Linked DNA regions of Oryctolagus cuniculus. The protein of the gene in region 7 purifies or fractionates together with the protein of the main gene of each other region. This does not show direct contact. Links are inferred from orthologs where the notes say so. Each region holds a gene or a part of one and is shown on either strand. Other genes may lie near its edges.

Region 1 (4,200 bases), on a different chromosome or scaffold from region 7:
GGTCCCTAGCGGTGAGCACCCCCGATGTAGCACTAGAAAAATCTGGCAGGAGGATTACCTAGTGCTGGACTTTTTATTATTTTCTTTGACTCCTAGCAAGCTCTTCTTTTTCACTCCTGATAAATCCATCCTCCCTTCTGAGGTGTTCAAAGCGGCAATGGCGGCCTCACTTATCTGAGCTCTCACTTCTAACTCGACTCTGAGAAACGGTCCCTAATCGATTGCAATTTACGCCAAAGAGCAGCCTAATAACAAGATAAAAGGATGTAGAGAGTGAACGAATTGGCAAGGCAACAAATTAACTTTGCAGTACAAAGCTGAGCACACACGAAGGCAGTCAGGAACACAGCAAGCAGCAGGTACCCACAGGACCAGGGCATGCGGGGCAGCCACCACTTCCCCACGGGGCACAGGTCAAGCCGGCACCCAGCTCCTCCCTGAGGCGGCGGGTGGTCCCCGTCGCTTTATCCTAGAGTTTCGTTAAGGGTGACGGGCCCTCAGCAGCACACTCACGAGGAGGACAGGGAAGCCTAACGCGAGTGTGGCTGGCGGATCAGGCCTCGTCTCTGCTGTGGTTCCCCTCCAGGACACACTGGATTACGACTGGAGACAAACATCGTTTCAGAAGTGGTTGGTATCAGCACCAAAACATTTACTACCCAAGCACGAACACTTAGAGAGTAGTGAAAGCGATTCTCAAGTTGTCAATAGCAAACTGTAGTGCTAAGCACGACGTGTGCAGGGGGAAAGATTCGCACGAGGCTGTGATTTAAAGAAAAAACGAGATGGTGGCTCCACACGCGCCAAGAAACCCAACAGAGGGACCGCAGAGCCCCAGTGGTGGCTACTGAGCATTAAACATTACTTCAATTTTTCTGTATGGTTAGAACTTTTAAAAAGACGCAAGTGTGTGTGCGGGGGGAAGCTGACACTTGAAACTGGGCGAGATGCTCCACTTCATTTAAGGGCTGGCCAGGTGCCTGACGCCAGCACACGGTGAGCAGTCACGTTAACCAGTTACTCAAAACCGCTCATCTCTCACCCAGGCTTTCCACGAGGTTCTGCACAACCGCGTGACCTGTGAGCAGGCGCGGCTGCTCATCCCACCGCACACCGCGCGGCCGCAGCCCCGCAGCTGGGCAGGCGCTTCCACGTGATGCCGATCCACGTTCTGACCCAGGAAATACGAGGGCCGGCTGTGGACACTCCAACGAGCGGCAGAGGGCAGAGGATCCCCGGGCAGCTCCTTGCCAAGGCTGCCCTCTTCAGAATGGCTGCCTCCAAACCATAAGGGACCACGGACACCCGGTCAGGCTGGTGTCCTGGGACAACCCCTGGGTGTAACTCAGCCAAGAGCCCCGGCCTCGCTGTGGACCCTCAGCAGCCACTGTCCTCTCTAAGGCCTCTGGTCGCCAGTTTGTTACCAGCAATGCGGTGACAACAACCCCCCTTCCAGCATTTTCAAAGGCAGTAACCAATGAACTCACGAAACAGACCCCGCACCTGGTTGAGGCCCAACAGAAGTAACATGAAAAGGGCTGTTTCCAGAGGCTCTCCTCCCCGCACCGGGAGCCTCAGAAAGGTCATGGAAAATACCTATCTGCAAAGAACATGCGTAGGTTTCATTTTTTTGCACCAAAATCTATCTTTTAACTCCCCTTTCCATGAATTTTCCGAAGTTCCACACACTCCCAATTCCTGAATTCAACAGTGTCCGTGGGCCCCACCGTGGGATCACTCGGGGCAGCACGGCCACTACCGAGCGCGCCAGGAGTAACCTGGAACTGCCTTGTAGCGCCGTCACAAACCAGGTAAATCCACTTAGAAAACACTGGACACCCCACACCCAGCGGGAACTGCATTTCCCGTTTTCCCCTCCGAGTCGTCCTTTGAACCCCAGCCCGGGCTGGCTGCGCCGCGGGCCCCGTGAGCAGCGGCCACCTCGCTGGCCAGGGCGGCGACCCCCGCCCCGCCCCGCCCCGCCCGAGGACGAGCCCCGCCGGTGTCCTCGGGACGAACACCGAAGAGCCACGGGGGGCGCGCTCGCTCTGCCGGGCGCGGTCGGCAGCTAGAAAGCAAAGGTTGAGGTTCTCTGTCCACAAGTCCAGGGCCCGGCGCGGGACCTTGGTGACCGCCCCCGTCCTCCGGAAGGTGCGCGTCCAACAGCCAGAGAGAGGAGAGAACAGTTAGTCACGTCTCGAGCAGAAGGGGCCCCTCCCCGCACCGGAGCTGGGCCTCACGCACGGTCCACGCCAACAGCACGGCGGCAGGCGGCCCCGCGCCGCGCCGGCCCGACCTCGCCACGGCGCCGGGACCCGCCGGCAGCGCTGGAGCCGCCCCTCGGGCAGCGCGCGCCGCCTTCCCGGGCGTCCCACACAGCGGCCCCGCCGCCCCCCGCGCTCGCAGGGAGGGCCCGGCTCCCCAGCCCGCAGGAGCGCCGCCGCGGAGCGGACCCAGCCGGGCGGCTCTTCCGTCGGCGGCGGCCCCGACCACTTCCGGGCCGCGGCCTCGACGCCTCCCACTCCGCCGCCCCGGGCCACATTCTTTCTTTCCGAGTTCCGTGCCGCGCCGCCCGGCCGCCGCGCCATCGCGGGGCTGAGAAGCCGGCTGGCTGCACGATGCGACCCTCCCGGCCTGGCGGGCGGCCCCTGCAGCTCGGATGCGGTCGGATTCCGCCCCCAACTTACATCTTCCCGCCGCCGCCACCTCCTCCCGCTCTCCTCAGCCGCCGAGGCCGGCGCTTTTCTGTCGTCAGAGCGAAGGCGCGGGAACGTGCCGCCGTGCGGCGCACAGCGATGACGAAAACGCCTCAGCCAATGGGCGCGAGCTGCGGAGCGTTCGGGGCAGCGGACGAGGGTGGGGAGCGCCGTGAGGGTCGCTGGCTGTGTCTCCCCGGTCAAGAGGGCTCTCGGCCCTGGGCAGCCCCTTTCCGGAGCTCCCGGAGCGGGCATGGCGACTTGCCGGGGCCCCGGGGCCGGCACGGACGGGGCTGACGAGGCCGCGCCTCTGCGAGCGCGTGCGCACTGGGGGCGGCGGGTCTTCTCGCCCGGGGGTCTTCTGGGCGGTAGCCTCTCCAAGGCCGGCCTAGAGGGCTCGGAGGGATGGGCCGGCGCAGGACGTGGGTTAGTGCGGTCAAACCCCACTGCTGCAGAGGGAGCGGCGGGCGCGAAGGCCCGGGAGGCGCGGTCGGAGCCGCCTGGCAGGAGCGGCGAGTGGGGAGGGCTGGGGAGGGGGCTTCTGTGGGATTGCGGAAGGAAGGACGGCGCCCTCGCCCCAGCTGGCAGCCAGGAGGGCTGGGGGGAGCAGCGGGTGCAAGCCAGGGCCTTGCAGAAAGCAACCAGCGGGCAGTCGGAGAGGCAGCCCGGGTGCGGGAGGGTGGGGGGAGCGCTAGAGCGGTCGGGGTCTGCCGGCGCGTGAGACTCCTTCCCCATCCAGGAGGGTCACCCCGCCCTCACCCTTCACCTGCGGCCGAGGAGGGCAGCGGCCGGGGTCTGCGGGCGCGTGAGACTCCCCCATCCAGGAGGGTCCCCCTGCCCTCACCCTTCACCCGGGGCCGAGGGGGGCAGCGGTCGGGGTCTGCGGCACGTGAGACTCCCTTCCCCATCCAGGAGGGTCCCCCTGCCCTCACCCTTCACCCGGGGCCGAGGGGGGCAGCGGTCGGGGTCTGCGGCGCGTGAGACTCCCTTCCCCATCCAGGAGGGTCCCCCTGCCCTCACCCTTCACCCGGGGCCGAGGGGGGCAGCGGTCGGGGTCTGCCGGCGCGTGAGACTCCCTTCCCCATCCAGGAGGGTCACCCTGCCCTCACCCTTCACCCGGGGCCGAGGGGTGTCCAGGGAGTTGGGCACAGAAGCCTCCGGCGTGTGCTGCCCTGGGGCGGGGTTGGCAGCCCGTCCAGTCTGGACACATTCGAGGGACAGGCGGGAGGTTCAGTTCTCTGCACGCCTTCAGGGGCAGAGGAGGGCAGCCCCTGGCGGGGGTGGTGTTGGCCATGGGCCGTCTGGAGGAGGCCTTGGCCCCCAGGGCCCGGGCTCAGAACCTGTGCCTGTGCGGGAGAGTGGGGGAGACCACAGCACTGACCCCAGCCGTGACAGCCCCCTCAGAACCTGTGCCTGTGCGGGGGAGTGGGGGAGACCACTGCACTGACCCCAGCCGTGACAGCCCCCTCCCTGAGTTTTTTTTTTTTTTCTTTCCTGGTAATGC
Region 2 (4,170 bases), on a different chromosome or scaffold from region 7:
CCAAGGCCCTGCCCCCTCCCTGACGCAGCCATCCTGCAGGGCTGGGAGAGAGGAACCCTGGGGTGGACCCTGTGTGGGCCACAGCGTCCACAGGCTTCTGCTGTGTGTGCTGCTGCATCTGCTGAGTTTCAGACGCCCCAGGAAAGCTCATGGACCTCTGCACCCCGTTGGACACTGCTGCGCGGGAGGTAGAGACAGGTGCATAGCCCTCTCTCAGGCCCTCTGCTTCAGCACCCCCTGCCCAGCCTGGGGGCAGAACTCAGGTTCACCAGGACCTCGGGGGAGGGGCTGGCCTGGGTCCCCTGGGGCGAGACTTCATTGCCAGTGCCTGCCCAGGGCTGGCGAATGAACGGCCCGGTGCCCTCGTGTGCCTGGGTGGCCATACCGTGAGGCTGGGGTGTTGTGTCCCGACCCTGCCCTGTGTGGGAGGCTGGAGCCCCGACCCTACAGGGGAGGCCTTCTTTGGAGGAGGGTTGCACACAGAGTCCCTGCCTGGGGAGATGAGAGGGAGCCAGGGCCAACAGGCAGGCACCAGAAACCCGAAGGGGCTTGGAGGCCCCACTGGGGTTGGCCTCTGGCCTCAGAGAAGGCAAAGGCCCCATCCCGGGACAGCAGCCCCAGGACCCCCCGTGGGGCGCCCCGGCTGTGGCCTCCGCCTTGGGGGAGGCCTCTTCAGAACGCAGCTCCACTGCCCCCTGGTGGCGCGGCCTGCAGGCAGCCAGGCATGCCGCCCCCCCCCCCCACACCCAGTGCAGCAGGCACTTGAGAACCACGTTTATTTGTTTGTTTTTTTCTTCTCTTTGTCAGAGTATAAAAAAGTGAACGCAAGACAAGACAAGACAGGGGCACGGGGTGGGCAAGACAGAGGCAGGAGGATGGGTGGCGGCAGGAAGGGCTCCCTGGGGAAAGACCTATAGCACAGGGTGGTCGGGGACAGGGACACGGGCAGCTGGGGGTCATGGCACAGGACGGAGGTGCCAGGCCAGTTTTCCGAATGCCACTCGGGACCTGCGGCTGCGATGACCAACCTCGCACCCAAGGCCGGCTCAGGGCACACAGAGGGGCTGGGCTCAGCCTCATCTGTCCCTGAGAGAGCCCGGGGGGGGGGGGAGTGGGAGAGGGCTGCCCTGCACCCAGGGAGGGGATGCTCTGGCGTCTGTGGGCAGATGTGGGGCCGAGGCCCTTGGGACAGCCTCTCCTGTGAATCCAGATCTTCCCGGGAGAGTGACAACGGAAAATGTCTGTGCCACTGACCCGGGCAGAAGATGCTGGATCGCAATAGTCCCCCAGGCACCGGCTGAGGAGCAGCACTGAGCCCAGGCCCCTGCGTGAGGTCACCTCATTGGGTGGCTTCGTCTTCACGGGTGTGGATGCCCCCTGGCCTCAGTTCTCACGGACTCGGAGCAGGGAGCCAGCTTCAGCATGCGCTGGGTGTGGCAGCCAGCCGCTGGGTTCTGATGACCATTCCTCTGGGCCGTGAGTTGGGCCTGCCGGGCCCTGGCAGGGACAGGAGGGGCACCGAGCTAGGAGGGCTGAGGAGTTCATCCCAGCTGGGTGGCAGACGGGTCAGTGCTGTGACGCTGCAGGCACCTGGCCATCTCTGGCTCGAGAGAGCTGCTGCACACGCGGCCAGCAGCACGTGCTCTGGTCCCAGGAGGAAGGGCGCCCAACCCCGATGCGGCGTGGAGTGCCCACCCAGAAGCACCTGGAGGTGAGCGTCCTGGTCCCGCCTGTCCACAGAACTGGGCTCTGCTGCCCAGGCGTCCACAGGGTCCGGGAGCTGAGCCGCCAGCACCATTTCGTCCCTGGCCACGGGCTCCAGTCACAGTGCTGGTCTGGGGTTTGAGCCTCAGCAGCAGCTAGGACATGTTTCCGAAGGAAGCTGCGGGGTAGATGGGGGCGAATGGGGGTGGACCCTTCCCGGGCCCCTCCAGCCAGTCTCCTGAGATCCTTCAGAGACCCCTCCCAGCCCCGCCCCCAGCCTCTCCCACAGACCTTGGCTGAGCAGCTGCAGGCTCCGCCCCTCCTCGCGCACCTGCAGGTGCAGCACCTGCTGTAGCACCTCCTGCCTCTGGGCCTCCTGCGCCAGCCCCATGCGTTGCAGCTTCTCCGCATTCAGCCGCAGCAGTGCCCGGCCTGCAGGGAGAGGGGCGGACAAGCTGAGGCCCACAGGGACACTCGGGACTCACCCAGGGGCGCGGGAGGGCAGCAGCCGGCGTACCGGTGATGGCGTGTTGGGAGAAGGCCTCGACATAGACGAGGTAGTTGTGGGGACAGTGCTTCTTGAGCCACTTGCACACGTCCTGCTGAGTCCACAGCACCACGGGCCGCGTCAGGCCGCCCAGCGGGGGGCTGGTGTGGTACAGGCCGTAGTGGTCCGAGTACAGCTGGCCCTGCAGGGAGAGGAGGGTGGTGGGCGCAGTGAGGGTGGCGTAGTGGGCGCGGGGGGCGGGGGCGGGCGGCGGGGTACCTGGGGGGCCTCTGTGCCTGGCTGCTGCAGGAGCTTGATGGGTCTGCTGCCGCACGCCCTCTGGCTGCGGGGGTCGTGCCACGTGAGGCTGGTGCCCGGCGTTCGAGGCAGGTGGCAGGGGATGCTCTCGGCGGACACCGTGTGCTCCAGGACGGTCCGGCAGAAGCTGAAGTGGGCGGTGGCTGTGTGCGGGGGCCCTGGTCAGGCTCCTGAGAGGCAGCTCCCCTGTCGTGCCCGTCTCCTCCCCACCCCTGAGGGGAGTCACATCCCCAAGCCCCCCCCCCCCCGGCAGGAGTCCAGAGACTGGAGGCACCACGCCTCCTACCTGCAGAGGACCCACACTCCAGGGAGCCAGGCAAGGGGCGGCAGGGGCGGCAGGGGCAGCCTTGAGCTATACACCTTGCCTAGGGCTGGCCTCTGAGCCTCCCGCATGCAGCACAGGACCTGCATATGCACACACGGGACCTGGGCATACACACACAGGATTAGTGCACACACACACGAGACCCGTGTACACACACACATAGTACCTGTGCACACATACACATGGGACCAGAGCACACACACGGGACCTGGACACACACATACACACAGGATCAGTGTGCACACACACAAGACTTGCATGTACACACACGAGACCTGCACATACACACATGGCACCAGGGCACATAAACAGAACCTGTGCACACACACACAGGATCTTCATTCACATACATGGGATCTGGGCACACACACAAGGACCTGTGCACACACACTGGACCTACAGGCACTCACATGGGACCTGGGCACACACACAGGACCTGCAAACACACATATGGGACCCATGCACACACACACTGGACCTACAGGCACTCACATGGGACCTGTGTGCGTGTGTGCATACGTATGGGACCTGTGCACACACACATGGGACCTGCAGGCACACACACAGGACCTGTGCACACACACTGGACCTACAGGCACTCACATGGGACCTGTGCACACATACATGGGACCTGCAGGCACACACACAGGACCTGTGCACACACATGAGACCTATAGGCACGCATATGGGACCTGTGCACACACATAGGACCTGCAAACACACACACTGGATCTACATGCACACACACACAGGACCTGTGCACACACACACAGGACCTGTGTGCACACACACGGGACCTGCAGGCACACACATGGGACCCACATGCACACACACAGGACTTGCAGACACACATATGGGACCTGTGCATACACAGGACGCACACACACACAGGACCTGCAGACACACATATGGGATCTGTGCACACACATGGGACCTGTGCACACACATGGGACCTGGGCACACACAAGGGACCCACACACACACACACACACACAGGACCTGCCTTTGCAGAGGGCAGGCCCTGCCTGCTGGGCAGCCTTTGCAGGGAGACGGTCCCACTGAAGTCGCCCTGGCCCGAAACACTGTGTCCACAGCCCTGCCCCATGTCCCTCCTGACGGCCTGCCCTGGCAAATCCTCCCGCACCACAAGCTGGGCCCAGGACAGCACCTGGTGCTTAGCACAGGGGTGCAGCCATTGCCCAGAGACCCCAGTGACGCCCCTTCCTCCCTGCTCCTTCAGCCTGTTTCCCGGTGCTGGTACCCCCGGGGCAGGCAGCGGCTCCGCGGACCCTCTCCCATCCCGGTGGGATCCCGGCTGCTGTCAGGTCGCGGTGCA
Region 3 (3,977 bases), on a different chromosome or scaffold from region 7:
GCCTGGCTGCCCCAACCAGTGAGCGCCACCTCCCTCTGGCCCTTGGGTGACCCCACACTCTCCCAGCAGTCAGCTCGGGCAGAGAGCCCCTGCCCGCCCGGGGGGAGAGCCCTTGCCCACCCTGGGGGAGCCCCTGCCCGCCCTGGGAGAGAGCCCCTGCCCGCCCGGGGGGAGAGCCCTTGCCCACCCTGGGAGAGAGCCCCCTGCCCGCCCTGGGAGAGAGCCCCTGCCCGACCTGGGAGAGAGCCCCTGCCCGCCCTGGGAGGGAGCCCCTGCCCGCCCTGGGAGAGAGCCCCTGCCCACCCTGGGAGAGAGCCCCTGCCCACCCTGGGGGAGCCCCTGCCCGCCCTGGGAGAGAGCCCCTGCCCACCCTGGGAGAGAGCCCCCTGCCCGCCCAGGGGCACCCCTGCCTGCCCAGAGAGAGCCCCTGCCCGCCCTGGGAGGGAGCCCCTGCCCGCCCTGGGAGAGAGCCCCTGCCCGCCCTAGGGGAGCCCCTGCCCGCCCTGGGAGAGAGCCCCCTGCCCGCCCAGGGAGAGAGCCCCTGCCCACCCTGGGAGAGCCCCTGCCCGCCCTGGGAGAGAGCCCCTGCCCGCCCTGGGAGAGAGCCCCTGCCCACCCTGGGAGAGAGCCCCTGCCCACCCTGGGAGAGAGCCCCCTGCCCGCCCTGGGAGAGAGCCCCTGCCCGCCCTGGGAGAGCCCCTGCCCGCCCTGGGAGAGATCCCCCTGCCCGCCCTGGGAGAGAGCCCCTGCCCACCCTGGGAGAGCCCCTGCCCGCCCTGGGAGAGCCCCTGCCTGCCCAGGGGGAGCCCCCTGCCCGCCCTGGGAGAGAGCCCCTGCCCACCCAGGAGGAGAGCCCCTGCCCGCCCTGGGAGAGAGCCCCCTGCCCGCCCGGGGGCACCCCTGCCTGCCCAGAGAGAGCCCCTGCCCGCCCTGAGAGCGAGCCCCTGCCCACCCTGGGAGAGAGCCCCTGCCCGCCCTAGGGGAGCCCCTGCCCGCCCTGGGAGAGAGCCCCCTGCCCGCCCAGGGAGAGAGCCCCTGCCCACCCTGGGAGAGCCCCTGCCCGCCCTGAGAGAGAGCCCCTGCCCGCCCTGGGAGAGAGCCCCTGCCCGCCCAGGGGGAGAGCCCCTGCCCACCCTGGGGGGGAGCCCCTGCCCGCCCAGGGCTGCGGCAGACGCAGGGCTCTCACTTGGTCTCCTCGATGCTGAGAGATGAGGCATCTCCGGAGCTGGTTTTGGAGCCGGCAGCTGGAACGACAAGCGGCGGGGCTCAGGGGCTGTGGGGCTGCGGGGCTGCGGGGCTCGGGGGCTGCCGGGCCAAGGAGCCGGCCCCGCTAGCTCGGACGTGCCCCAGGGTCTATCAGCCGGCAGAAGGCAGCGGCCCGGCGGGCTCCCAGAGCTCTGCTCCTACGTCCCCTCCTCACCCAAGACGGCCACGTCCTGCCTCCCTCCCTCCCTCTGCCCTCTCTGCTTCTCTATCCCCTGTGCCCCTGCCCCTGCCCCGGCCACATCGTAACCGAGGGCAAGACCAACCAGCCCTGACGCTGCGGCACGGGCAGTCATGTCGGGGTCTGGCCGCCCCCACGGGGCGGGGGTGGTGCCGCAACGCGGCCGTGTCCCGGGTGCCACCCAGGCGGTCAGGAGCAAACAGTGTCTGTTCTGCGCTGCATGTGGGGCTCAGGCGCAAAGCATTTGGGGCCTCCTCCAGCCCCAGGTGAACCCCGGAGAGGAGGGAGCTGGGCACCGTGAGCCGGCCCTCCCCGCACCCCCCACCCTCCCCCTCTACCCCACAGCTGCCTCCTGCACCCCGGCCCCCGCCTCGTGTCACCCCCTCCTCCTAGCACACTCTCGCCCCACGCACCCCGACACGAGCCTTCCGGGTGTCCCCGACCCTTGGGCGACTCATCTCCTCTGTGGCATCTTCCTGGGCCCGCTACTAAAACCCCAGCACTCCCCAAGCCCTGGCCCCGCCGCTGGCCACACCCTCGCAGGGGGCTTCCGGGGCTTCCTAGACCCTCTCGGTGCCCCCACGCACTCTCAGAGCCCAGGGCATCACCCCCTGCCCGCCTCTGTCACCCTCCCCCAACCACCGGGTCCCGGTACTCCCTCCTCGCAGGGGCAGCTTCCCTCCCCCGCCAGCCCTCCTGCCGACCTCTGGCCACGACCTCATGCCTCACTGCCTGGGGTCTCCACCACGAACCCCACGCGCGCCGCGCGCCAGCGAGCCACCTGCTGAGACCGCACGCTTCCGTCCACCCAACACGGAACCCCGCAAAACGAGAACCTGCGTGCTCACGGGGCTGAGCGGACAAAGCCGAGCCCAGGCCCGAATGGCCGGTCGGGGGCTCTGCTCACTGCTGAGCCCAGAGCCCCGGGCAGCACCGCGGACACTGCCGGGCTCCCGGGGCCCCGCCCCGCCCCTCACCGGCCTCGTAGCCGTCATCGCGCTTCTCCCGCTTCACGCGCCGCTCCGAGGGCTCGGCCTGGCTGCGATCCCGCCCGTGCGCACTGCTACGGGCCTCGGCCTCGGCCCCGCGCCGCCCGCTCCCGCGCTCGCTCCCGCGCTCCCGGCTCCGCTTCCGTCGTTCGCCGCCGCTGCTGCCGCCGCCTCCACTCCGGTGTTTGTGCTTCTTGTGCTCCCGATGGCGCGGCGGCTGCTCGGCGGCGCCCCCAGTGCTGGCCGCCGCCGTCGTCCCGGCGGCCTCCTTCTCCCCACGGTGCTTCTTTGACGACCCCATGGTGGTCCGTCCGCCTGGAGCCGGGCAGCCGCCGAGCCCCGACGACGCAAAATGGGAACACTTCCGGGTCGCACGGCAGCCGCTGTCCTGTTGCCGGAAACCAAGAGCGGCCGCTTCCGGCGTGCGCGTTGGCGCTTGCCCCGGAGGCTCATGGGAAGGCGGGGACGGGCTCGGATCCCGACGGGGCTCTGGCGGCCAGCCCTGGGCCGAGCGGCGCTCAGCTCGCTGGCTTTCCCGCTGCGCGCGCCCCTTACGGGCGCAGGATTAGCTTGGAGGAGACGGGATCGCAGAATGTTAGGGACCTAGAGGCCATCTAAGCCAGCGCCCCGGAGCTGGAAGCCCCTCAGGGCCGGCCCTGGGCAGGTGGTCCATTCCAGTGGACTCCGGGGATCTCGGCCCCATCGGGCAGCCCAGCCTCTGGGCGCTGTAAGCAGCGAGCGCTGCCTTTGCACGGGTCCCTGAGCTGAGCTGAGCTGGATTTTTTTTTTTTTTTTTTTTTTTTTTTTTTTTTTTTTGGACAGGCAGAGTTAGACAGTGAGAGAGAGACAGAGAGAAAGGTCTTCCTTCTGTTGGGTCACCCCTCAAATGGCCACTACGGCCAGCGTGCTGCGCCGATCCAAAGCCAGGAGCCAGGTGCTTCTCCTGGTCTCCCATGCGGGTGCAGGGCCCAAGCACTTGGGCCATCCTCCACTGCACTCCCGGGCCACAGCAGAGAGCTGGCCTGGAAGAGGAGCAACCGGGAGAGAATCTGGCACCCCGACCGAGACTAGAACCCGGGGTGCCGGTGCTGGCCTTGTTTTTGAACCTCTGCTGTGAGCTGCTCAGGGAAGTAGCCTTAAAGGCCGCGTCCGTTGTGCCCTGGTCACTCGTGAACTGGCCCCAGGACATATGGGGGAGATGGAATAGAGAGAAACGGCCATTGCTCTTCGAGACGTCCACTGGGGAGCAGGGCCAGGGCTGTGGGGACAGAGCCAATCCTTCCCACTGGCGGCTTCCCCACCACCACCACAGACCCCCACGCTGAGTTTGCCACAAAACCTTTAATTTTTATCTCGGGGACCGCTCGCCAGGTCCACGCTGGGGGTCAGGTGCCTGTCAGGCTGGCCTCCGGGGGGCTCCATCCTTGGGCTCTGCCTGCTCGTCTCCGCGGACCTGTGGCTCCTTAAAGACAGACAGCGGCCGCTGAGCACAGCTCCCACTCCCACGTGCGTCCCAGCCCGGCAGCCGTCCTGGCTTCCCGTGC
Region 4 (4,042 bases), on a different chromosome or scaffold from region 7:
TGAAAGGTAGATTTACCGAGAGAGAAAGAGAGAGAAAGAGAGAGAGAGAGAGAAAGGTCTTCCTTCTATTCTTTCACTCCTCAGATGGCTGCAACCGCTGGAGCTGCGCCAATCCGAAACCAGGAGATTCTTCTGGGTCTCCCACGCGTTTGCAGGGGCCCAAGGACTTGGGCCATCTTCTACTGCTATCCCAGGCCACAGCTGAGGACTGGATCGGAAGCGGAGCAGCGCCCATATGGGATGCCAGCGCTGCAGGCGGAGGATTAATTTACTGCGCCACAGCGCCGGCCCCTCTGTAACACTTCTAACACTCCACATAATTTACTTTTGTTTATAATCTGTTTCCACACCTTTCCTCCCTGCAAGCTCCTTTAGAGACCTCTGCTGCTCACCACTTTATCCAAAGTGCCTAGAACAGTGTCTGGCTCACAGTAGACACTCAATGGTGGATCCAAAGATCTTTGCTCCTTTAGGAGCTACCCATTCCACAAAAGCAGGAGCCACAGCTAACTTGTTTTAGGAAATTCGCCCCCCCCCCACACCCCCAGTCTAGCTTACTGCTGATACACAGTGATCGTTTTAAAGGATAGATCCTGAAATAAAATGGTAGCTCTAGTTAAATATAGTCGCCCTGCTAATGTTTAGTGCAAGGAGGATGGCTGGCTGAGATTATTCAAGTGGTTTCCGTGGGGAAATGTTTTCTGACCTACGCTTTATACTACATTTTTTTCAAACAAAATCAGTTCATACGTTGGCGGTGCAGGCAGAGTAGAACCAGAGGCCAGTTCTCTCTCTCACATACACACACCAACAATAATGGGGACACCACAGACTGGGTCTTAAACCAGCAGGCTGTAGACTAGGCGAAGGTGCTCAGTCAGTCGTGCCTGCGTCGACTTTTTTCTTCTCGTCGTCGGTTTTTTCTTTTAATAAAGCCTGGCACCGGGTCTGATCGGATGGCGACTTCTGGCATGACCTAGGGGCAGTATTCCTTATCAGTATTAACTGGTACTGTTTCAAAGCGCTTGGTGGTGAGGAACAAGGCACGTAAAGTTTCACACGGCGTCCAGAACCAGACCAGCTCGATACAGCTGTCAGTTCTTAGGAGTATGACGTTTCTTATTCTTCATCTTTCACTCTGCTTCCCCCTACTCACTTTAACCTAATGGAGGGAAGCAGACGCCCACTCCACCTCCGGGCATGCGCACCAACCATTTGGCCACGCCCTTTCTTAATTAGATTATTGATCCGGGTGCGAGACGGAGGAGAAGCCGACTGGCCTCCGTCCCACCCTGGTGGGATTTTGTCGTTAAAACGATATAACGTACGTCACACCACAGGTTAAAAGGGCTGAACAGCCCAGCGCTCTCCGCCAGAACTGCAGGTCTGCGAGTACGTCCCCGAGGACACACGTCTCTCTCAAGCCCGCCCTGACTCTGCGCTAGAAGCGGGACCCAGCCACCCGCAGGAAACTGGGGAGGGAGGCGACCGCCTGGCTGACTTTTCATTGGTCCAGAGCCACAAAGATTGGCAGTGTCTCCCCTTTCCAGTCTCTGAGTGGTTGAGACCAAAAATCAACGCCGCTCGTCATTGGCTGAATCCGGCTGTCAGTCCTTTCAGGTCTCGCGGCGCGGCGCAGCGCGGCGCGGCCTGTAGAGCAGTCTTGAAGCCTGCTGCAGGGAGAAAATGGCGGTCGCAGTGAGAACTTTGCAGGAGCAGCTAGAAAAGGCCAAAGAGAGCCTAAAGAACGTAGATGAGAATATCCGCAAGCTCACCGGGCGAGATCCCAATGACGTGAGGTAGGAAGCGGACGGGAACTGCGGGCTCGGAGAGGCAGCCAGCAAGTCAGGGTGAATTGGGGGCGGGGAGAGCGGCCAGCCCTGAGAAGGCAGGAACATCGAGGCCTGTTCCCGGGCGGCGGTAGATTCCCGTCCTCCCTGATTTGGGGAGGCCCCAGCCCCGCCGTAGCGCGCCTCGTTGCGCCGGCATGATGTCCCGGCTTGTGAGATGGGCTGGACTGGAGATTCCCGCCCTCAGCCCCGCGGGCCCCGGAACTGCAGTACAAAGCCCCTTCCCGCTGCGGCGGCCGCCCTCCCTGCCCGGGGTTGGCCCCAGACCCTCCGGGCCGTGCCCACCGCCTCGCTCCCAGCCCTTGCCCACGTGCGTCTAACTCCGGGATGGCGCCATGGGGACCCGGTCCTGGCTTGGTAACGAGTGGTGGCATCGAGGTAAACATAATTTCTGAGATAATGGTCTCGAGAAAAACGAGGAAGTTAAATGAAATAGGACTCCCTGCCCCGTTTCAAACGTGTGGCTTTTAAACCGTCTTAGAATTTTGGGGAAGTTATTATTATTATTTTTTTTTTATGATCTAACACAGGTAGGAAGGGATTTGGTGCCGTTAGATTGGTCTTCCTGTAATTTTTGTACTGACGAGTAAATCCCTTCCAGGCCCATCCAAGCCAGGTTGCTGGCCCTTTCTGGTCCTGGTGGAGGTAGAGGACGTGGTAATTTATTGCTGAGGTAAGATTCCCTTACGCTTTTACTAGTGTTAAAGGCTAACTAAATTAATACACTGTTTGAACAAAACCTGTGTTGGAGCCAGTGTTAGAGTAACGTGGTATTCTCTGTCTCTCCATCTCTGTGTAACTGTCTTTCAAAATAATTAAAATACATCTTAAAAAAGAACAACACAGTATTTGCATTTAATGTTGTAATCAGCTAGTTTTCTATGTAACTAGCTATTCTGAAGCTTCATTTATATGTAAGAGGTTGGAGAATTTTGTGCAACTTTCTTGTATTTTTTCGTGAAGTATTTTGGAGTGAATCCCACTTAACATAACTTTAACTGAAAGAATTTTTAAAAATCAAATTGCGTTCTCTTGTATCTCGTGTTTCAAGTGCTTTCTGTTGAACAATTTTAATTGCAGGCGTGGATTCTCAGATAGTGGAGGAGGACCCCCAGCCAAACAGAGAGACCTTGAAGGGGCAGTCAGTAGGTAGGTTTGAAAGATTCTTAAGTACACAAAAATAAGTATTTCATGAATATTGTTTTGTTGCATTAGAATTGACTAGTATCCACTTTCCCTAAAGCTTGCCATGGTATTTGACTGAACTGAGATAACCAGTGTTCCTCAAAATTCAGTTCTTTGCTCAAGGTGATCCAGTTTTTATCAGACTAAGGTCATAAGAAGTCCATTTGTACCGTATTTTTATGTCCTGTACTTAAAGAACTTAAATAGCCTAAGAAATAATTTATATGTCATAGGAGTTCAGAGTTTGGGCATTAGTTGACACGTTTTATCCTTTCTTTGCCAGAGGAAAAAGTAAATGGGATGGAGACTGCTAAATGAGTTTTCTGGGAAAGAGACCTAGCAACAGTAGGCATTTGCCTTGCTATGCATTTACATCAAATTCTGCAGTGGTTATTTAAATTACTTTTTGCCATGACAGGCTGGGCGGGGAGCGTCGGACAAGAAGAGAATCACGCCAAGAAAGCGACCCAGAGGATGATGATGTTAAAAAGGTACTGAGATTAAAAGAACTTAATAGAGAGTGAATGGAATATTTATACTCTGTGTTTAAAAGCATGGCACTCATATACTAGTTAGATTAATAAGATTTTCTTTTCGCCTACAGCCAGCGTTGCAGTCTTCAGTTGTAGCTACCTCCAAAGAGCGTACACGTAGAGACCTTATCCAGGATCAAAATATGGATGAAAAGGGAAAGCAAAGGTATCTTTAGAATTCTTTTGGGGAAACTAATCTGTCAAATCCTGCAATTTAAAAAATGTGAAGGGATTATTCAACTGTCTGCAGTATCAGAAAATGGCAGATTTAAATGTACAGCCTGTTAAAATGGGATTTTCTTTTTCTATTCTTAGGAACCGACGAATATTTGGCTTGTTGATGGGCACCCTTCAAAAATTTAAACAGGAATCCACTGTTGCCACTGAAAGGGTATTTATGGTTTTTGTTTTGCTTTATCAAAATGGTTGATTAATGTTTTTTGAAAAGAACTTAAAAACTCTTCTAAAACTTCA
Region 5 (3,500 bases), on a different chromosome or scaffold from region 7:
AAGTCAGAATTATTCATGACTGCCAAAAGGCACTTAAGCCTAAGAGAAGAAGGCATGTTACCAGACGAACTAGAACTCAGAAGACAAAATGACCTCATCCATGAAATGATCTGATACCCCCTTTTGGAACTTTAGTAGCTAAGCTACCTCAGGGGCAGTATAAGACCCCAATAAATCATGCTATAAAAAGGACAATGTTAGAGATGTACACAGGGTATAAAGGGAAGAGAAAGGATTCAGCACTTTACTGTTAATTTTAAAAAGAGAAGGGCAGGGGCTGGCACTGTGGTGTAGTAGGTTAAGCCTCCCATATGGCATACGGGCAGCGGCATTCCATAGGGGTGCTGGTTTAAGCCCCAGCTGCTCCACCTCTGATCCAGCTCCCTGCTATGGCCTCGGAAAGCAGTAGAAGATGGCCCAAGTGCTTGGGCCCCTGCACCCATGTGGAAGACCTAGAAGAAGCTCCTGGCTTCAGATCAGCACAGATCCAGCCATAGTGACTATTTGGGGAGTGAACCAGATGGAAGATCTCTCAGTCTCTGTCTCTCCCTTTCTCTCTAACTGTAACTCTTTCAAATAAAATACATAAATCTTTTTTTTTTTTTTTTTTTTTTTTTGACAGGCAGAGTGGACAGTGAGAGAGAGAGACAGGGAGAAAGGTCTTCCTTTTGCCGTTGGTTCACCCTCCAATGGCCGCCACGGCTGGCACACTGCACTGATCCAAAGCCAGGAGCCAGGTGCTTCTCCTGGTCTCCCATGGGGTGAAGACCAAGCACTTGGGCCATCCTCCACTGCACTTCCCTGGCCACAGCAGAGAGCTGGCCTGGAAGAGGGGCAACCGGGACAGAATCCGGCGCCCCGGCCGGGACTAGAACCCAGTGTGCTGGTGCCGCAAGGCGGAGGATTAGCCTAGTGAGCCGCAGCACTGGCCTAATAAAATACATAAATCTTAAAGAGAGAGAGAGACAGAGTAAGCTTTCGGCACAGTGACTAAAAAACACTTGGGATGCTCACATCCCACTTCGGGGTGCCTGGGTTTGAATCCCAATTTCACTTCCAATTCCTGCTTCCTGCTAATGTGCATTCTGGGAGGCAGCAAATGATGGCCCAAGTAACTGGGTCCCTGCTACTCACATGGGAGACTCACACTGGGTTTACAGCTCCTAGCTTCAGCCTGGCCCATCCCTAGCTGCTACGGTCATCTGGAGAGTGAACCAATGGATGAGAAGTATCTTCAAATAAATAAATACATAAATAAAATTTAAAGAGACAGACAAAAGAACCCAATATATTTTTTTTACCTCATCAAGATCTTTGGTCTCTCTGCCCAATTCATCGTCATCTTCATCAGAATCAAGCTCGGGTCCAATATAATTTCCAAACTCATCATACAAGTCAGTATCCATGGTGCTAAAATTCAAAAAGAAGAGAAGAGTGAAGACTGACAACATAGTCCCCGTCTCCTGGCTTCATGGTCCACCAGACCCCTGCACACACCTCCTCTCCAGTTATATCCAGCTCTCGACTGCACCCCCCAAAGTCCAGTACTTTCCCCACCTCTCTGGCCTACTTGGCATTACTACTTAAACACTGTTCCTTCCTCTTCTTTAATACTGAAAAAGATTCTAAAATAATATAATACCAAAAGTGCCAGTACAAATAACTTCCCGTTGCCTAACTTACTGAGAGCAGCCTGCTGACACAACATCCCACCACCCTGTAATACTTCAGGACAGGAACTGGCAAACTGGCCCGTGGCCAACTCTGGCCCCTCCACCTGCTTTTGCATTGCCCCAAGTGAAGAATGCTTTTCTTCAAGTTAAAACAGTTCATAACACATTAATTAATGACATTCAAGTTCAGTGTCTATAAAGTTCCACTGGAACACAGGCATGTTCATGCACATGTAGCTGCTTTCACACTGCAACAGCAAAGTTGAGGAGCTGGAAATGAGACCATACGGTCCACAAAGCCTAAAATATTCTCTGGCCCTTAACAGAAAGCTTGCCAACCACTGTCTCAGCGTGTGTGACCTCCACAAACAAGGACATCTCCTACATACCACAGTACAGTCATCCAAAGCATAAAATTACTATGGACCCATTACTACCACCTAAACCACAGAGTTCACTCAGGTTTTACAAGTGGGCCACCGCAGTACCCTGCACAGCCAAGGCTCCGAGCCAGGATCACACATTTTCTTGGAGTTGCCCTGTCAACCTCTCTTTCAGCCTGTCCCAGTTCTTCAGTCTGGCCTTGGCTTCTATGACTTAACACTGCTGAAGCTTAGAAGCAGTGATTTTGCAGACTGTCCCCTCACTTGGGCTTGCGGGATGTTTCCGCAGGAGTATACGCAGGCTCTGCCCTTTCGGCAGGAGTGCCACAGCAATGCTGCTGTGTTTTTCTCAACGCATCTCCTATCGGGTGGTCTGTGACTTCAATTTGTCCCATTTGTGATGATATTAACTTTGATTCTTGATTAAGGAAGTATCGGCAAGTTTTTCCATTATAGAGTTCCTCCTTTTCCACTGTAATTACTACTTTGTAGGTTTTCTCTACTTCAAAGATAGAAACTACTCAATAGTTCAAGAGGCAGGCGTTGGGGCTAGCAGGTAAGACGACAGAAGTGCTGGGGCTCCACACCTGCCTCTGCCTCTTTACTTCAGCCTCCAGCCAATGTAGGCCCTGAGAGGCCAAGGCTACAGCCCAGGTAACTGGGTTCCTGCCACACACGGGCCTTGGCCTGGCCACTGCAGGCACCTGTGGAGTGAAAAAGTAGACGGGAGCTCCTTCTCTCTCTCTGCCCCTCAAACACAAACATGAAAACGGATGGGGTGGCACTGTGGTGCAGTGGCTATGCTGCTGCTGGAGACGTCTGGGATAGAGTCCCCCTCCGCTTCCAATCCAGCTTGCTGCTAACGCACCTGGAAGGCAGCAGATGCTCACTCAAGTACTGGAGTTTCTGTCACCTGTGGGGGAGGTCCAGCTGGAGCTCCTGCCTCCTGGCTTTGGTCCAGTACAGTGGGGGAGTGAGCCACTGAATGAGAGATCTCTCTCTCTGCTTCTACTTTTCTGTCACTCTTGCCTTTCAACACACACACACACACACACACATTTGGCAGAGCATTACAATGTTGCTTAGGATCCTGCATCCCAAAGCAAAGTTCCTGGGTTCAAATTCCAGCTTCCTATTAATGAGCACCCTGGCAGGGAGGCCCAGTTTGGTTTCCTTGCTCTGTGGCTTTGGCTTGGACCAGCTCCAGCTATTGCAGGCACTTGGGAGAGTGAATCAGAAGATGGGAGGTATCTGTATCTGACTTTTAAATAATTTTTAAAATAAGAATAATTCAGGCCGGCGCCGTGGCTCACTAGGCTAATCCTCCGCCTTGCGGCACTGGCACACCGGGTTCTAGTCCCGGTCGGGGCGCCGGATTCTGTCCCGGTTGCCCCTCTTCCAGGCCAGCTCTCTGCTATGGCCCGGGAAGGCAGTGGAGGATGGC
Region 6 (4,237 bases), on a different chromosome or scaffold from region 7:
ACGTGGAAGGGAAGAGCGCGTAGGCTGGAGGAGACGGCGGGGCGGGTGGCCTCACCTCGATGTCGCGGCAGGTACACCTGCAGGTCGGGCTTGCGGGGCCGCGTCGGCGCAGGCGTGTGCCGCCTCCTCACCTTCTCCTTGGCCGCCTGCTTCACCTTCTTGTCGTAGTCGTCCCTGCGGGGAGCCGAGCGGGAGTCAGGGACAGCCGGCCGGGCCAGGCCAAGGGTGGCGGTGGCGCGGGGCGGGGAGGTACCGGGCGATCTGGTTCCGTCGGATGTGGTGCACGAAGCCGTGGCTCATGTCCAGCCGCCCGCCAGGCTTGCAGCAGAGCCTGGGCCCGGGATCCCGGGCCGCCTCCATCTGGAGCCCTGGGCGCAGAGTCGCCGCCACCTCAACGGCCCCAACGGCCGCCCTCCCGCCGGTGGAGGCCCGAGCCAGCCCGCGCTCAGCTTCCGGCCGGGAGTCCCGACTTCCGGCCGCGGGAGGGCTGGCGGGACCGAGCGCCGCGGCGCGCGGAGTTCGCGGCGCCGACAGGGTGGAGGCGGGGCTGTTTTGTGTCATCAAAAGGAAACAAGGACTTCGGCTTACAGTTGGTACATCAAAAAATTTCAGAAAAAAAGGCACATCTACTAACGCCTGTGAACACTACTCGCACCAGCTGCGTGAACTGAGCTGACCCCGCCGTGCCTCAGTTTCCTCACCTGTAAATGGGAACACGGAGAGCACCTTTCTCAAATAAGCTGTGTAGGCGACCAGGTGCTGGGGCAGGCTACGGCTCCGCGAAGACTCGCCCGGCCCTCCCCTGCCCTGCTCTAGTCGCTCAGTACCAGCCCCAGGGTTTTTGAGCTCCGGACCGCCCAGGACAGGCTCACTCGGGTTGAGGCCGGACAGGACCCCTAGATCGTGGCGATGTCACGGTGCATCCACGTGGGAACGGAGCGAACCGAGCGCGTTAAACGTGCAGGTCCTTGTGGGTCAGCTATACCCCCAATGTAAACAAACCAACAAGCAAACAAGGTAATAGCAGGCTCCTAGGTTAGAGCTTTATTGGCCTTAGCATTTTGCTGACAGCTAGAACCCTCTAGTTGTGGAATCAGGGTTGCCACGTTGCCGCACGGGCTTTATCGCCTTGTTTTCCCGTGCAGGGCCGTCAGTCTCAGAGGAGCCAGGACTGGGGGAGACGACATCCCGAGGCGCTAAGTATCTCGTGCGAGTTATAAAACCGTATAGGCAGGAAAAAGTTCAGGTTATTTTAGGCTGAAAATGATAGGTAAAGAGGAAATTAGCCCACAAAACGTTCCCAGAAGCGCACGGAGCCTAAGGATGCCAGGAATGAAGCGACTCCGCCCACAATTTTCTGTAGCGCCATAGATTTGTCCCCGTTGGCGACCCGTAGGGAGCTTTGCGGGCTCCACCGGCCCCGCCCCTGATTGGCTGCGCGTCGCGCATTTGCGCGTGCCTGGCGCCTGCGCTGGACGATCTCTCCGGTAGTGGAGATGTCTGCCCGGTCCAAGCGGGAGTCCCGTGGTTCCACCCGCGGGAAGCGCGAGTCCGAGTCCCGAAGCAGCTCGGGTCGTGTCAAGCGAGAGCGAGATCGGGAGCGGGAGCCGGAGGCGGCGAGCTCCCGCGGCAGCCCGGTTCGCGTGAAGCGGGAGGTCGAGCCGGCGAGCGCGCGCGAGGCCTCGGCGGCCGCCGTCCCGGTGGTGCGGATTAAACGGGAGCGCGATGCGGACGAGGACTCGGAGCCCGAGCGGGAGGTGCGAGGTGCGCGAGGCCGGGCTGGGCAGGGCGCGAGCCCCACCTTCGCCATCTCCGTTTTGTCTTTGACTTTCTGCTACTTCCCCGCCTGGATGGGGGAGGGGGATACAGATGTTCCGATGAAGGCAGTGTTAGTAACCGTAGTTATTTGAGTATTTCTGATAGCAGCAGCAGCAACACTTTTCCCATAAGCCCTCAGCTGTAGGATCCTGCTGTAATTTGCAGTCTGGTGTTGGGAGACTTCTCCATCGGCTTCCCGCGTCTCTGCGCACACAGCGACCAGAGGCTGGCTCGTCAAAGGTGTTCCTATAGTGAACAGTCTGGGAGGGCAGAGGTGCCGTTTCCCAGTAGAGCGAAGGAGGTGGCCAGCACACAGCCCCGTTTAAAAAAGGAGTTAGGATCTCCAGCCTCAGGATTCTGCCCCTCTCGGGCAGCGCACTGTGCGTGGGTTCTTAATGTTGCCTTGTGAGAGCTGACGAAGGGAATGGATAGCAAGGCTGTCTTTTGGCTGCTGCTATTACTGCTGTAACAGACTCCTTTGTTTCAGACCCAATAGTTGGGGGTCTTCCATTAGCATCCACGAAACTGCCAGACTAACTCCCTAGCCTGCAAATAGAGTAAAACCTTATAGTTCTTGGCAAGTGTTAGATTGAAGGGCATTCATTTATGCTATTTAAATTGTTCGTGGATGTTACATTCAGTTTATCTTGTAACCTGTGATATGTTTCATATCTCTCATGCTTCATGGAATTCTTTATGTAATAGATTAGTGGATTTTTGTTTATACGTGTACCAAATATATTCTCCTAGTTTGAGGCTTATTCCACTAGCAGACATTTTTTTGGTTGCTGTTGCTCTCTGAAAGGAGTTTATGTTAATGGGGAGCTCATCTTGATGGATTGCGTGCTAGTGTGTCTTCAGTTGTGTCTTCCTTCTGTGTTTGGCCTTGAGTACTGGTTTCTCATTTTCAAAGCCTGTGGTGATTTTCCTTTTAGCGAAGAATGGCCGCGTGGATTCTGAGGACCGGAGGAGCCGCCACTGCCCGTACCTGGATACCATTAACAGGTCAGTAGGGTAAAGACACCAGAGGTAGCAGAACAGTGGAGGAGCCAGTCTTTTAGCTTAGTGGTTAAGACACAGGTTAAGGGGCTGGTGTTGTGGTGTGGCAGATAAAGCCCTGATTTCATGCTGGGATCCTAAATGGGCAGCTCAACTTCTGATCCAGCTCCCATATGGGATGCCGGTACTGCAGGCAGCGGGTCTACCGCTGCATCACAGCGCCGGCCCCTTCAATTAATTTTTTTAAGGGGCCGGCGCTGTGGCTAAGCAGCTTAACATCCTGGCCTGGAGTGCCGGCATCCCATATGGACACCGGTTTGAGACCCTACTGCTCCACTTCCAGTCCAGCTCTCTGCCATGGCCTGGGAAAGCAGTAGAAAATGGCCCAAGTGCTTGGGCCCCTGCACCCATGTGGGAGATCCGGAGGAAGCTCCTGGCTCCTGGCTTCTGATCAACGCAGCTCTGGCTGTTGCGGCCAATTGGGGAGTGAACCACTGGATGGAGGACCTCTCTTTCTCTGCCTCTCCTCTCTCTGTGTAACTGACTTTCAAATAAATAAAAAATAAATAAATAAAATTTTTAAACATTTTTTTGGCCTAATCTTTGTTTGAAAGGCAAAGAAAGGGAGACAGAGAGAGAGAGAGAGAGAGAGTGAGAGAGTGAGAGAGAGGTATTTTCTACCTGTTGATTCATTCCTTAAATGCCCACAACTAGGGCTGGCCGGGCCAAAGTCAGGAGCTCAGTTGGTGTCTCCCGCATGGGTGTACTTGAGCTGTTTGTCATGTGTTGCTTCCCAGGGTTTGAATTAGCAGGAAGCTGGAATTGGAAGTAGAGCCGGGACTCAAACTCAGTGTTCTGATATGGCTGTGAGCGACCCACGTGATGTCTTAACTGCTGTACCAAGTATCTGCTCCAATGTTCATAAACAATTTCTGTTTGTTTATTTGAGAGGCAGAGAGTGCCCGTGTGTAGGTTAACTCCTTAAATGCCTGGCTGGGAGCCAGGGACTCAGTCCAGGTCACCCACATGGGTGGTAGGGACCTAGCTACTTGAGCCTTTAGTAGTAAAGGCTGCCTCCCAGGATGTACATTAACAGGAAGCTAGGATCCAGAGTGGAGCCAGGACTTGAACTTGTTCTTCATTTAAACTGGTAGAATACGTGTTGTAGAAACGTCAGAGAGCATGTTGTTTAAGGGTGGGCATATGCATGAAGAGCTCTTAGCTCATGTTGAGTTTGTGTGTTGTAATAATTTGTAGTAGCAAATTTAAGTATTTATTGAGTACCGATTACATACGCGGTACTTTTCTGGGTGCCTAGGACTCAGTAGGAAGATAACAAAAATTTTCTTGAAAGCAGAAATAGTCACCTCGTTATGCTATTTTTTTCACTGAGTCGGAGGTGGCATGTTGGATACCTTCC
Region 7 (3,500 bases):
TCAGGTACAGAACTGAAAGTGGCTGCTTCGTCTCTCAGCCTCATTCTGAGTAAAAGCTGTGGCAAGTAGTCTGGGTGCTTATTAGTTTTGGCTGGTCAGTTTGCAGTTTGTTTGTGTTTGTTTTGACTGTTTTGTTTTCTGTGACTTGTGGTTGAGAGTTAGCATCTTCACAGTCAGGAATGTATAAACGTTAATTTATTGTAAACTCCTCATCAGCACTAACCTCACGTAGCCAGCAGGCCAGCAGCAGTGGTTCCTGAAAATTAAATACTTCAGAGAAGGATTAGGCCAGAGTGAAAGAAATAGGAGTGGGAGGGTTGAAACACAGCTTTTCTCTTCTGCATTATGGCCTCACTGTTGTGCTTTCAAATCTAAGCCCACTGTAACATAAAAATAGTTTCACCACACAGCTTCCTTGCGACTCATTTGGAACATTGATTTTCATTTGGAAATGGTGTTGTGTGCACAGTTTGATATGCTGTCATTTCAGCGTAGAGCAGCTTGTCAGGTGTTAAAGGAAGGGGTTTCTTGAACAGAGTATTTTCATTGTGAATCATTTTTGCAACTAATATTCGTGTTTAAAATTTTTTTTGTCTTTCATATTTCCATGTTGCATTTTAACACTATTTTGTTTTTGTTTTTTTCTAAAAGTATGAATTTACGAGAGGTGTTAAAAAAATATGGTAAGGATGTTGGTCTTCATATTAAAGCCGTCAGATCATACAGTCAGCAGTTGTTCCTGGCATTGAAACTCCTTAAAAGGTGTAACATTCTCCATGCGGATATCAAGCCGGACAATATCCTGGTGAGTCAGACCACCTGGCTGCCTTCTGCATCTGTGTCTCTTCTTACTAGCAATGTAATTATTACTCTCATTCCAGAAATGACATCTTTAAAGCACAGTTCAGTATACTAATCCATTACAAGCGGTTCCAATTTTGCCTTTTTTGGAAATGACCCATGGCATCCTAGAGAGAAGTAAGAAGAGGAAATTTTCCCCCCACTTTTGGTTGATGGATTGGTTCAGGGTATGCTCACGCCCAGGGGTGCTTTATACAGTGATAATGAGTTTCCTGTGGTATCTTAAAACACGTGCTGCATGGGGTGACGTTTCCAAATAAGAAGTGTCCGTGCTCCTTTGTTCTCTGATTCTATAACTCGTGGAATTAGGGGCATTTCAAGAGACTTAGCCTCTCTCCAGTAGATGTATGCAGTTGGCTTGAGAAAGCACTGAAGAGTAACTTTTCTGTTGTGCTCTTTTTCTCCCTTGGTCTTCATTGCTTTAGAAGCAGTGGCTCCTGGGGCCCAGACACTGAAGCTTGGTAATGCTGAGGCGTTGTACTGAAAGGCCGTCTTTTACCCTCTCCCCATAGTGACTTAGGATTCCATAGTGTTCATAGCATTTTTGAGATTTGGAAGCACACACCATGGTGGCATGATGAACACATGCACACCTTCCCTCCCCCCCCCCCCCCGACCCCCCATTTCTTTACCCTGTTCTGTGCCGGTCACAATTCACAACTTGGAGAATTTGAGCTCACCTGCCAGTCACATGTTTTGCATTTCATTTTTCTTAGAATGGATGCTTTATGTCAACACTCTGGTAGTTAATGCTTATGAGAGGTTCTTAGCAAAAGCCAAGCATGTAAAGTCTCTTTTGCTGGGAATTGTTTGAGCGATGACAAAATAAATTATTAAAAATATTGTGATCTTATTAAAATTTAAGATCTCTTTGGAGCCAGCATTGTGGTGCAGAGGGTTAGGCTGCTGCTTACAACCCTGGCATCCCATATTGGAGTGCTGGCTTGAACCCTGGCTACTTGGCTTCTGATCCAGCTTCCCGCTAATGTGCCTGGGAAGGCAGCAGATTCTTGGACCCCCTGCCACCCACAAGAGAACAGGGTGGAGCTCCTAGCTCCTGGCTTTGGCCCAGCCCAGCCCTGGCTGTGGTGGCCACTTGGGGAGTGAACCAGCAGATGGAACATCTCCCTATGTCTCCTTGTCACTCAACCTTTCAAATAAAACCTCTGGGGAAAATAATGAAGGACTCTTTATCAATAACTGAACTCTGTGATTCAGATTTCCCTTCTCTTTCTATGTCTTAAAATTTTCCTTCCAGACTACCATGTTAATAATGAGGTATATTCCTTTTTCATAGTTTGTGTTTATATTATATTGTATGTCTAATAGAACTAGGAGTAGGGGAGTTGAGTAATAGTGAAATGGGAGGTACATTATAAATGACTTAAGAGTTGCCTAGCCAACTTCATAGTTTTAAACATGATTTTTTTTTCTCTTTTTAAATTGGGAAATATATCATCCTTCTTCGGGATTTGCAAAAGGTACAGTGGGTATCTGTGTGACTGCTGTGGGAATTAAGTCTCATAAGCTCTTATTTCTAGCACTTCGTTTTTTTAATTTATTGCTAAATTAGTATAGATTTTCATATGGATTTCAGAAATGAAATGTTTTCCCTTCTTCCTGTGGAAAAGTAAACTTCAGAGAGCATGCGGAGCTGTTGGTTGTTAATCAAAACCCGAAGCTTCCAGGCTGTGGTTCCCCGTGGCGGTGGTGAAGTGCCACCTCTTTCCTGGGGAGTTGTGCAGCATGAAGCAGCGTGTGAGCCTGGAAACCGTCCTGGTGTCTTAAGGCCTTGTGGCAGGTCCCAAGAGTTTTTCCAGTAATCCAGCTTGTATTTTTTTTTTTTTAACATTGATTTATTTATTTGTGAGGGAGTTGTAGAAAGAGATCATCCATCCACTGGTTCACTCCCCAAAGGGCCTCAGTGGTTGGGGCTGGGTCATGCCTAAGCCAGGAGCCAGGAACTCCATCTGGGTCTCCCACATGGGTGGCAGGGACCCAAGCCTTGGACCCTCTTCCACTGCCTTCCCAGGCACATAAGCAGAGAGTTGGATTGGAAGCTGGGCAGCTGAGGTTTGAATCAAAGCTCCCGTATATGGGAGGTCAGCGTGCCAGGTGGCTGCCTAACCTGCTGCACCACAGTGCCAGCTACAGCTTTCTGCTTCTAACAAAGCTTCGAAGGAACTTTCACTCTAAGATAACTGCTTTCCTGACTCCCAGAATGAAGAGAATGGTAATTGATGTGACAGCTGAAAGTGGTCATTTCTGTTTACTGCTTAATTCCATGGGCATCTCTGGTGTTCCTTCAGTCTGTGACACTGACCTGCCCAGGGCTCTTTAAAGTGTTCAGTTTGTTTGGGGTGGGAACAGTAGGCCACGTTCAAGTCCCAACTCGGAATTTATGTGTGTCTCTTTTGAAGGGGGGCAGGGACTCTGGAATGTGACTTACCTTCACTTGTTAATCCTGAACCTGCTTCTGACTCATGAGTGGCAGCAGTCATGGGAGCAGCGCCAGCCTTGCTCAGCAGATGTCACTGTTACTGTGTATGTGGAAGTATTTACAAGGAAAGAGACAAACCGACTAATACAGACATCATTAGCCATTTTGCCAGATGTATTTATCATTTTTTGGACTAATA

The links.
Region 1: the proteins of PRP4K (region 7) and RNPS1 purify together in Homo sapiens (co-immunoprecipitation; 4 studies listed by BioGRID and IntAct, with this or other methods). This does not show direct contact. The link is inferred for Oryctolagus cuniculus from reciprocal best matches to the Homo sapiens genes PRP4K and RNPS1.
Region 2: the proteins of PRP4K (region 7) and PRPF6 purify together in Homo sapiens (affinity purification with mass spectrometry; 3 studies listed by BioGRID and IntAct, with this or other methods). This does not show direct contact. The link is inferred for Oryctolagus cuniculus from reciprocal best matches to the Homo sapiens genes PRP4K and PRPF6.
Region 3: the proteins of PRP4K (region 7) and SART1 purify together in Homo sapiens (affinity purification with mass spectrometry; 3 studies listed by BioGRID and IntAct, with this or other methods). This does not show direct contact. The link is inferred for Oryctolagus cuniculus from reciprocal best matches to the Homo sapiens genes PRP4K and SART1.
Region 4: the proteins of PRP4K (region 7) and PNN purify together in Homo sapiens (affinity purification with mass spectrometry; 5 studies listed by BioGRID and IntAct, counting the BioPlex papers as one, with this or other methods). This does not show direct contact. The link is inferred for Oryctolagus cuniculus from reciprocal best matches to the Homo sapiens genes PRP4K and PNN.
Region 5: the proteins of PRP4K (region 7) and EFTUD2 purify together in Homo sapiens (affinity purification with mass spectrometry; 3 studies listed by BioGRID and IntAct, with this or other methods). This does not show direct contact. The link is inferred for Oryctolagus cuniculus from reciprocal best matches to the Homo sapiens genes PRP4K and EFTUD2.
Region 6: the proteins of PRP4K (region 7) and USP39 purify together in Homo sapiens (affinity purification with mass spectrometry; 3 studies listed by BioGRID and IntAct, with this or other methods). This does not show direct contact. The link is inferred for Oryctolagus cuniculus from reciprocal best matches to the Homo sapiens genes PRP4K and USP39.

The regions. Positions count from the first base shown.
Region 1 is NC_091450.1:33,008,794-33,012,993, reverse strand, and holds the start of RNPS1 (RNA-binding protein with serine-rich domain 1), read right to left. Parts: upstream 2,801-4,200; 5' UTR 2,690-2,800; coding exon of another isoform or gene 2,688-2,689; intron 2,663-2,687; exon of another isoform or gene 2,225-2,662; intron 1,966-2,224; exon of another isoform or gene 514-1,965; intron 246-513; 5' UTR 130-245; coding exon 59-129; intron 1-58. UniProt on the Homo sapiens protein: Part of pre- and post-splicing multiprotein mRNP complexes. Auxiliary component of the splicing-dependent multiprotein exon junction complex (EJC) deposited at splice junction on mRNAs.
Region 2 is NC_091442.1:205,102-209,271, reverse strand, and holds the start of PRPF6 (pre-mRNA-processing factor 6), read left to right. Parts: upstream 1-1,370; coding exon 1,371-1,711; exon of another isoform or gene 1,712-1,859; coding exon of another isoform or gene 1,860-1,882; intron 1,883-1,995; coding exon of another isoform or gene 1,996-2,136; intron 2,137-2,221; coding exon of another isoform or gene 2,222-2,393; intron 2,394-2,470; coding exon of another isoform or gene 2,471-2,652; intron 2,653-2,869; coding exon of another isoform or gene 2,870-2,935; intron 2,936-4,170. Other genes in the region: SAMD10 (sterile alpha motif domain-containing protein 10), read right to left, coding at 1,860-1,882, 1,996-2,136, 2,222-2,393, 2,471-2,652, 2,870-2,935. UniProt on the Homo sapiens protein: Involved in pre-mRNA splicing as component of the U4/U6-U5 tri-snRNP complex, one of the building blocks of the spliceosome.
Region 3 is NC_091432.1:5,822,228-5,826,204, forward strand, and holds the start of SART1 (U4/U6.U5 tri-snRNP-associated protein 1), read right to left. Parts: upstream 2,801-3,977; 5' UTR 2,735-2,800; coding exon 2,422-2,734; intron 1,245-2,421; coding exon 1,187-1,244; intron 1-1,186. Other genes in the region: TSGA10IP (testis-specific protein 10-interacting protein), read right to left, coding at 3,775-3,895. UniProt on the Homo sapiens protein: Plays a role in mRNA splicing as a component of the U4/U6-U5 tri-snRNP, one of the building blocks of the spliceosome. May also bind to DNA.
Region 4 is NC_091443.1:36,472,375-36,476,416, reverse strand, and holds the start of PNN (pinin), read left to right. Parts: upstream 1-1,242; 5' UTR 1,243-1,686; coding exon 1,687-1,799; intron 1,800-2,451; coding exon 2,452-2,523; intron 2,524-2,930; coding exon 2,931-2,999; intron 3,000-3,453; coding exon 3,454-3,526; intron 3,527-3,639; coding exon 3,640-3,734; intron 3,735-3,883; coding exon 3,884-3,959; intron 3,960-4,042. UniProt on the Homo sapiens protein: Transcriptional activator binding to the E-box 1 core sequence of the E-cadherin promoter gene; the core-binding sequence is 5'CAGGTG-3'. Capable of reversing CTBP1-mediated transcription repression.
Region 5 is NC_091448.1:18,146,624-18,150,123, forward strand, and holds part of EFTUD2 (116 kDa U5 small nuclear ribonucleoprotein component), read right to left. Parts: intron 1,411-3,500; 5' UTR 1,407-1,410; coding exon 1,302-1,406; intron 1-1,301. UniProt on the Homo sapiens protein: Required for pre-mRNA splicing as component of the spliceosome, including pre-catalytic, catalytic and post-catalytic spliceosomal complexes. Component of the U5 snRNP and the U4/U6-U5 tri-snRNP complex, a building block of the spliceosome.
Region 6 is NC_091433.1:117,039,207-117,043,443, reverse strand, and holds the start of USP39 (ubiquitin carboxyl-terminal hydrolase 39), read left to right. Parts: upstream 1-1,437; 5' UTR 1,438-1,496; coding exon 1,497-1,764; intron 1,765-2,753; coding exon 2,754-2,823; intron 2,824-4,237. Other genes in the region: C2H2orf68 (UPF0561 protein C2orf68 homolog), read right to left, coding at 56-174, 254-360.
Region 7 is NC_091436.1:166,254,011-166,257,510, reverse strand, and holds part of PRP4K (serine/threonine-protein kinase PRP4 homolog), read left to right. Parts: coding exon 1-4; intron 5-651; coding exon 652-805; intron 806-881; exon of another isoform or gene 882-1,028; intron 1,029-3,281; exon of another isoform or gene 3,282-3,405; intron 3,406-3,500. UniProt on the Homo sapiens protein: Serine/threonine kinase involved in spliceosomal assembly as well as mitosis and signaling regulation. Connects chromatin mediated regulation of transcription and pre-mRNA splicing.